Linked DNA regions of Arabidopsis thaliana. The protein of the gene in region 2 interacts with the protein of the main gene of each other region in a pairwise test. Each region holds a gene or a part of one and is shown on either strand. Other genes may lie near its edges. The genes, in order: bbx23 and GATA11.

What was found.
Region 1: the proteins of GATA11 (region 2) and bbx23 interact in a two-hybrid assay, tested with the Arabidopsis thaliana proteins (one large-scale study listed by BioGRID).

Annotation. Positions count from the first base shown.
Region 1 is NC_003075.7:6,368,050-6,371,665, reverse strand, and holds bbx23 (B-box zinc finger family protein), read left to right. Parts: upstream 1-1,715; 5' UTR 1,716-2,139; coding exon 2,140-2,340; intron 2,341-2,411; coding exon 2,412-2,699; 3' UTR 2,700-2,837; downstream 2,838-3,616. Other genes in the region: AT4G10260 (pfkB-like carbohydrate kinase family protein), read left to right, coding at 46-180; ATHSP22.0 (HSP20-like chaperones superfamily protein), read right to left, coding at 542-1,129. UniProt on the Arabidopsis thaliana protein: Probable transcription factor that may be involved in seedling photomorphogenesis.
Region 2 is NC_003070.9:2,485,149-2,489,997, forward strand, and holds GATA11 (GATA transcription factor 11), read right to left. Parts: upstream 2,938-4,849; 5' UTR 2,710-2,937; intron 2,703-2,709; exon of another isoform or gene 2,670-2,702; intron 2,359-2,669; exon of another isoform or gene 2,268-2,358; 5' UTR 2,255-2,267; coding exon 1,988-2,254; intron 1,699-1,987; coding exon 1,054-1,698; 3' UTR 700-1,053; downstream 1-699. Other genes in the region: AT1G08005 (serine/threonine-protein phosphatase 6 regulatory subunit), read left to right, coding at 196-363; TPST (tyrosylprotein sulfotransferase), read right to left, coding at 4,427-4,597, 4,676-4,810.

The DNA.
Region 1 (3,616 bases), on a different chromosome or scaffold from region 2:
CATATGAAATTGAGTTTTGGTGATTGAGTAATGTGAATGTTGCAGGATGAAGGGAAGCTGAAGGAAGCACTTGCCTTTGCAAATGCATGTGGAGCAGTGTGTACTACTCAGAAAGGAGCTATTCCTGCACTTCCCACTCCAGCTGATGCTCAAAAGCTCATGAAATCTAAGTCTAAATAGTTTCAATCTTGTTCTGTTCTGTTTCTGTTTCTTCACTCTTGTCAATTTCCTTGGTTTTCACAGAGTATTTTCTCTGTTATCTGAATAAATCTAGTTTCAAGTTTCTGCCAAAATTGATTCCAAACTAATTCATATACCTTGATTTTTAATTACATGACTAATGTTCTATAACAAATAATCAAGAGGCTCTATAATATAAAGAAATGAACATTTTATTGCATATAGAGAAGGTTACAGAGATTTTGGTAGATAGGTTACAAAACATGACACTCCATTTAGCTTACACAATATGAAACTCAAAACTCTTGGATTTATAATAACTCTCTTCAGACTCAGAAAGTAATATATAGTTTCTTCAATATCAGAGTTCTTTGGATTCAGAAGAGCTGATTTTTGCAGTTTGGTCTTCTTCAGCTGCAATGTTAACAACTCTTGGACCCTTAACTTTTTCAGGAGATAGTTTCGTGAGGTTAATAGTGAGCACACCATTCTCAAGCTTGGCCTTGACTGATTCCATATCTACATTATCAGGTAGCTTGAACTGTCTCCAGAATTTTCCATATGATCTCTCCACTCTATGCCATTGATCTCCTTTCTTCTCTTCTTCTCTTTTCCTCTCTCCACTGACTCGTAAAACTCCGTTCTCCTCCACTTCTATCTTTACTTCATCCTTCTTCAAACCGGGGATATCGAGCATTATCTCATGCCCTTCTGCTGTTTCTTTCCAGTCTACTCTTGCTGGAGACAGAGCCACGCTTGTGTCCCTCTCGAGTCCTAATGGGATTCTCTCCAAGATCTTGAATGGATCAGGGAACCGGTCTAGCCAGAGATCGGATAGCAAGCTGCCTGGAGTAGTTTCAAGTGCAGAAGACAAAGACCCTTCACTTGTTTTGATGTTTCCAAGCAACAAAGCTCCTATGAAGAAGATGCTTAGCAAGTGCTTCATCATGGTTAGTGATTTGGATTTATTGTAGAAGGTTGAAACCAAAATTTTAGGCTTTTAACTTCACTTTCTTATTTTGTTTTCTATGATGGTTAGTCTCAATTCTCTGGTGTATATATAATACACATTGTATGAAGAATGAAGAAGTTTCTTGAAATATCTTTCTTTTGGTAGAGTTTTGCAGAGAGAGATATTGAGATTGTTCTAGCTTTTTTGGCTGTGACTTGTACTAATTATGTTACTACACGTTGGATAAGTTTGTTGTGCCTTTAAGGGTCTTCTCTCATGTTCCAGAGACTTCATGTAAAAACTATGGATTGGATTGGGCCTTAATAGTTATTTATATCCAGGCCTATTTTTATTGGCCCATTATGATATTTGGGACCAATTCTGTTTGTGATGAGTCTTAGAATTTTGGCTGCTGCATGGGAAAGGAATGGGAGAGAGTTTGAATGATGCCATGCTCCATTTCAGTTTCTGACAACATTTTAGAGTTTTTGACCTCTATTGCCCTATGGCTAGTTACTTTTAATTCCACAGTCTTTATGCATATTGTGGTCCTGCCTTTACTTTTGGCTTGCCATGCTTGTGTCTTAAGAGAAGCTTGTCGCTATGTTTGTCAATTTATGTTTTCAAAAGAAAGTAAAACTATACAAGCTTCTGAAAAAGATCTTGTCATGGAGATTTTGGTAGGAGAACATTTATTGGTTTAAATGCCACCCAAAGTTGGTCTAATAACCCCATATTGAGATAAAAATTTCGTCTTCGACATATCGTTGTATATCTATATATAGTTCTCTCTTTTCATGAATAAAGATCATCAATTCCTCTTGGTATCAGAGCCAGGTTTTGATATAACTTATGATCCCACCACACATGTGAACTTATTTAAGCTTGTTCTTTCTTGTTTCCTATATTTAGATTCACTCCTTGTCCTAATTCTCATAAATGTCAAAGAACATTTGTTCTGTCTGTGTATTGGCAATTTACATTGATTTGGATTATAAAGTTGAAGGATGAAGATACAATGTGAAGTGTGTGAAAAGGCTGAAGCAGAAGTACTTTGTTGTTCAGATGAAGCTGTACTATGCAAGCCATGTGACATTAAGGTTCATGAAGCTAATAAACTTTTCCAAAGACATCACCGAGTCGCCTTACAAAAAGATGCAGCCTCAGCCACCACAGCTTCTGGAGCTCCTCTATGTGATATCTGCCAGGTTCCAATCTCTTTTCTCTTTAAACACTCGCTGAGCTCTTTAACCGATGTCTCATATATATGTATATGCAGGAGAGAAAAGGGTACTTCTTCTGCTTAGAGGATAGAGCAATGCTGTGCAATGATTGTGATGAAGCCATTCACACTTGCAATTCTCACCAAAGATTCTTACTTTCTGGAGTACAAGTTTCTGATCAGTCTTTGACTGAAAACTCCGAATGCAGCACTAGTTTTAGCTCTGAAACTTACCAGATTCAGTCAAAAGTGTCTCTGAATAGTCAGTACTCTAGTGAGGAAACTGAAGCTGGAAACTCAGGTGAGATAGTACACAAGAATCCTTCTGTAATCTTAAGTCCTTAGAGATATACACACAACATCATGGTTCCGGAGCCATTGATGTTTAATAATAAAAGTTTCTGTAATATATTATCTTACACAGAAGAAAAACTTGTTGAGGAATCAAATCTTTTTGTTACAACAAATATTAAAACCATGACTTAACAACTAAAGTCAGTGGTCATGGCATCGACACAACCAAAGCTAAGTTGTTCCAATAGTTTCAAGAATTGTAGAAATGTGAATACTATTTGAATCGATCTTAGATATATAAACAAAATTTAAAAAATGAATAAATAATTATTGATTAAATATAATTATTTATCTCAAATATCAAGACTTGGATAGAAAATGCATAACTTAATGAGACAGTCATAGATTACTACTATTAGCTCTTGTACTTTCTTTTTGCCTCACTACAAGAACTATAGACCTTGTTGGATTTGAACCAACGTTGGAACATAACTGATTAAGAAGTGACCATTGAGATTCTTCCTCATCATGATCCAATTGTATACATTTATCTTCTCCCACAACGTGTAAAAAAACGTTGGAGACCCCATGCTTACCACGACACACCAAAACTTTGTTCTCCTGGTCGACCAAAAATTTATCCCACTAGCAAACCAAAAAGGCTTGTAGAAACTTTCTCCATGACGCGGCTCCGGTACCGTCAATCTTAGTTGCAATCCCTACATGATACATCTATATCGCCTACTCGCATGCCACGAGTAGCTAACATACAACATTTTTGATCTTCTCTAGTCACTGATAAAGTGATAGGATGATGATAAAAAGGATGATCACCCGGGAGAGACACACTTGTAAATCTCTCTATTGAAAAATCCAAACAAAGTAAGAATTCCCCACTTTCTATGTCTTGCGTGCAAGCAAGCCAGTAAGTATTTCCATTTACAGACATGACATGCTCTTTTAACCGT
Region 2 (4,849 bases):
GTTGGGGTATATAAACACAACCCACCAAAAAGATTAGACCTTGGGTACCAACAACCCACTAAAGCAGAGAACATAATGAGGCTAAGGTTTGTTATCCATCTTCACAAGTCATGAGGCTAAGGTCTCCAACCAAAAGATCAATGTTCTTTATCGATGATGATGACACCAAGAACATAATGAGCCTCGACATTACCAATGCCTGACGTCAAAACCGAATCTTTGATTCCAAACGGTTCAGAAAGATCCTTCTTTGATAAGGACGTGGAATTTGTGGGAGTGGAAGCACAAGTGACAGAGAAAGGCATGGAGCAAGCGATGAAGATGAACAAGGAGATGGCTGAGGACCTAAAGACTGAGGAATGAAAGAGTTCAACGATAACAATTACTGGAAAGTGGATCATGAAGTTGGAGTTTAGAGTCAGCATCTTGTACAGTGTGATTTTGTATGAGCGTAATGAAACAAAACTTGGTTTTAGTTGAAATTTCTTGTAGGTGAGTCTCTCGTCTCTGTGAAAAAAGCTTTTGTTTTCTAATCTTTCTCTGTTATCATTAAGTTTCTGTTGTTGTCAGCTAGAGGAAGTTGTTACTTAGCTTACCACCAAGGTGTCCGTCTTTAACCTACATAGAAACTCTTTTGCACTTCAGTTTCCTTCTGTTGAACATTAATCATATACGTACATAAGCAAGCAGCCTCCATGACTGAATTTGATGGGCGTTTATTTTTCAACTAATGCAAAATAGTAAAACAGATGAAAAAAAGAAGAAGATTATGGGATTGAAGAATAAAAAGAATAGATTTGAAATAGCGAAAAAAAGAGAGCAAACTTTGGCTTCACCTGTTTTCCTCTGATACACAAATGTCAGCCAAGAGATAAAGATAAAAACACATAATGAAACAACAAAATATTTCATATCCCTAACTTGAACTAAACCACTAAACTCTCTTCATCAGATTTGAAAACAGTCACTAAACCCTACTTTTATACCATCTTCTTCCTCCACTGACTTCCCATTTCTGCGGATCAGAGACCAAACTTTAAAAAAAAAACTGCTTTACCCTCTGGATATCACTGCCCGAATCATGCTGCTATCAAACTGTTCGTCGTCCTTCCTTCTCATCTCAATGATCTTCCTGTGTGAGTTTGAATGCACAGCTGGGATGAAGGTGGGGCTTGAGGCTGGTCGGTATTCTGGAACTAGGCGACCAGATCTGAACCTCACTCCGCAAGCATTGCAGAGGGTCTTCGGTCCACTGGGTCCTTCCCTCCACTGTGGGGTCTTGGTTGTCTCGCAATGAGTGCATTTGCGGACTATCCCATCCGAGTTGCTTGCCTCCAGAGTGGAAGAGACCGTGCGGGTGGTCAGGTGGATCTTGCGTTTCTTCTTGGCATGTTGCTCAGAAGAAAAGTAACACTCGGATTCAGGTTTGCCCGGGGTTGACTTCTCGGGCTTTCGGGGTTCAGAGGGGAAAAGGTAGCTAAGTCTCAGTGTTGTGGGGCGTTTGCGCTTGCTTCTCATGCCTTTCACAGGGAAAGCCAATCTCTGAGATCCATTGTTGTGGGTCGAGAGAGAACCATAACTGTTCTCGAGAACTGACACTGGACTTAAAGACTGAAATAGTTTCGAAACTTTGATTTCAGGAGGAGCTGAAGATTGGTGGAGAGTGCTGGACAAGGCTTCAGAAGAATAGGACTGTTTCTGCACCAACGAAACCAAACAAATCAGATGGATTGCAAAATCAGGAACACAATCAATGCACCAGTAAAGTAAGTGACACAAGATTATACTCGGATTAGGAATACCCTCTACATGAATGCTGCTAACTATGGTTATAAACACAGCGGAAAGTGAAAGATTGACATCACTCAAATTATATGAGTAACTAAATAAGCAAGAAAATTTCAGGTAGAAAAGCTTTTTTTACTCAAATTGGGTAAAAATCAAAACAAGTAAAATGCAAAAGTGATAAAAAAAACAAAGAACTCACCAAAGCAGGAATGTTCCTTTGAATATCCACACGAGGGGCCTTGGCCATGCCAGAGCCGCAAGAGGTGAGGTCAGAAGGCAAAGTGGGGAACATATCCATGGGAGGAGGCTCAAGGTCTTGAAACCTGTCAACCCAATCTCCTTCACCATTGGTGGTATCAATGTCATCAAGAGGGACGTCAAGGTGATTGATGAGATCATCAAAGAAATCACCAGAGAGAAGACCTTTGAAGTCATCCTCAGCTTCAGCTTCAGGTAACCAATTCATGCTATCTATCTAACTGTACCCAAGAAAAGATAAAACACATTCAAAAATCAGCGTAAAATTCACCAAAAGCTGAATTCAAAAACAGCTTCATGTCCAGTTAAATAAAAAAAAAAAAACTTTGGGGGTTTCACTCAAAACTCTGACACAATCAGACAGAGACATATGCTAAAACAATTACAAAACAGAAAATTTACCCAATACAATAACAATGACGACATCATTTTAAGGTAACGAAGATTGAAACAATTCCTTCAAACATCACTGAGAATTTAATTAAAAAAATCACAGAGATAAGTGTCGGTTCACACACCAACAAAGCAAGCAACCAAATTTATTTCCTACATTTTTCGAAAACAACGCAAAACGTAACAGAGGAAAATGCAAGACAAGACACAATAAAAGAGAAAGCTTTTACCCTAACGAGAGAAAGAGAGGGAGAGAGAGACGCAACGAACCTTGTAATATAATTCGACTATACAGAGAAGAGGAGAGAGAGAGAGAGAGTCGTCGTACGATGACGAACTGGAGATGGTCTCAAATTGGGGATTTAGGGATTGCAGGTTCGACTTTGGGAGGGAGAGAGAGAGAAAGAGAAAAGGTAGATGGGAGTTTTCAATGTCTCGTCAGTTTCTTTGAGAGAGAGATTCATTCATTTAAAATAGATAATAATGTAATACTATTACTTACTTACTTACTTACTTGTATATGAAAATTATTATTATGGAAACTGCTTTTCTTAACTTTAAAGAAAAATCTTAATCAGTTTCTTTGAGAAATAAAAATCTCTCTATCAACGCGTTTTACCAAAAAGAAAAAAAAAACTCAATTTTGGTTCTTTTACATATGTCAATAAATATATATATACACTAACTGAAGTAGTAATAGTATTTGTTAAGTTAATCCAAGTCAATTGAAAACGTTGCACTAAAACTTGTGGGTACAACTGTAACATTAAACCTCTTCTTGCAATTAATAAAGATATTGTATCATTAAAGCTGATATATATAAGGTAAGTAAAATATCAGTCAAATATTTTATCTGAATGGGTTTTAAGGAATATATGTCGGTGTAATGAAAGGATAAAAGAAAGAATTTACCCATTTTAACATGGTAATAGTATGTCGACATGGAAATTAAAAGATGGTAATAACACTTAATGATGGTCAAAAGAATTAAATAGAGAAATGATTGCGTGGAATAGATCTAAAAAGGAAAATAGGATAAGCACATGGCAAAATAACCTTGAGGGAAGGATGGTTGATAGATCTCGATCTCTAGCAATAATAATAGATAGTATCATGAATTGATGTATAATTTAATTTACGTAGCAAACAAATAAGTTGGGTTTAACATAATATACTAAAAACCTTTAGTATAATAGAGAGAGTCAAAGTGAAATGGAGAGATCACCGACGAAGGATTAAGAGACGAGAACCGAAATAATAATAATAATAAAGATGATTATGGCGTTTCCTCATGGGAAAGTGGGTCCCTTGCCTAACTCTTTGCTTCCATCTCCCACATGATATGTTTCATCCCTTTCACTTACTATCTTCCTCCCATCAATCAATTATTATTATTAGTATTTTTTATATAAAAAAAAATTAATATACACGATCTTCATATTTCTTTTCATTTTTTCTTCTTATATAGTTTATATGATTTTTTCTTCAAAATTTTTGACATATTATTGTTTACACTGCGTCGTTGATAAGAAAACAAATATCACGTGGGGGTATATTTACTGCTTTTGTACAATTTGTTTTATAGAGATTTGTATGAACTGTACTTTAAATTGCACACAGTCTGTTGCGTGAAAAATGGTACAGTCAAATTCAAACCAGTTAGTAGTGTACTTTCTCAAAAAAAAAAAAAAAAAAAAATTGTGAAATCTTATTACTTTTATCTTTATTGATTAAGCTCACTTAAACAAAAAAAAAAAAAGAAGCACTAATTTTGTGACTTTACCTGTTTTGTTTAGCCTTTTAAAATAAAGTAGATAGAGAGTTTTTTTTTACTTGTGATTTTCCCTTTTTCACCTGTAAGGTAAGGCAACACCCAAAACTTTTTCTTTTTCCACGAAAAGTAGAAAAAGAAAGAGAATAATATTACAAATTGGACCCCAAAAGCTTCTTCAAATTGCTGATTTGGTCCAAAATATAGTGACAATGATCAAATCTTAACTTTGGAGGTTCTTCTCCTTTTAGCGTTTACAAATAGAAAGAAGAGGACGATCAATAAAAGCATCAATGCCACTGGTACGAACTTCCATAGCTTCTCTTCACCCATTTCTCCCAATACGCTCTTTAACTCACTCGGCAGATCAACAATGCTTCTCTTAGACTGCACACGAATCATGGAGTTTAGTCTTATATCAGACAGAAACTAAAAGGCGAAATGTGAAGACAAGAAGTTTCTTACACTTGAGATCAACTTATTCGACACTAATTCATGTTCTTTGGCAAAGATTACTTTTGCATATTTGTAGAGCTCCACATCGAGGTTGTTAAGCGATTTGATCTGCTGAATGACCTCTTTAGGAACTCTTGTACGCGTCTGTTAGATGCATTGTCAAAAGATTTCATTATTCCAGCC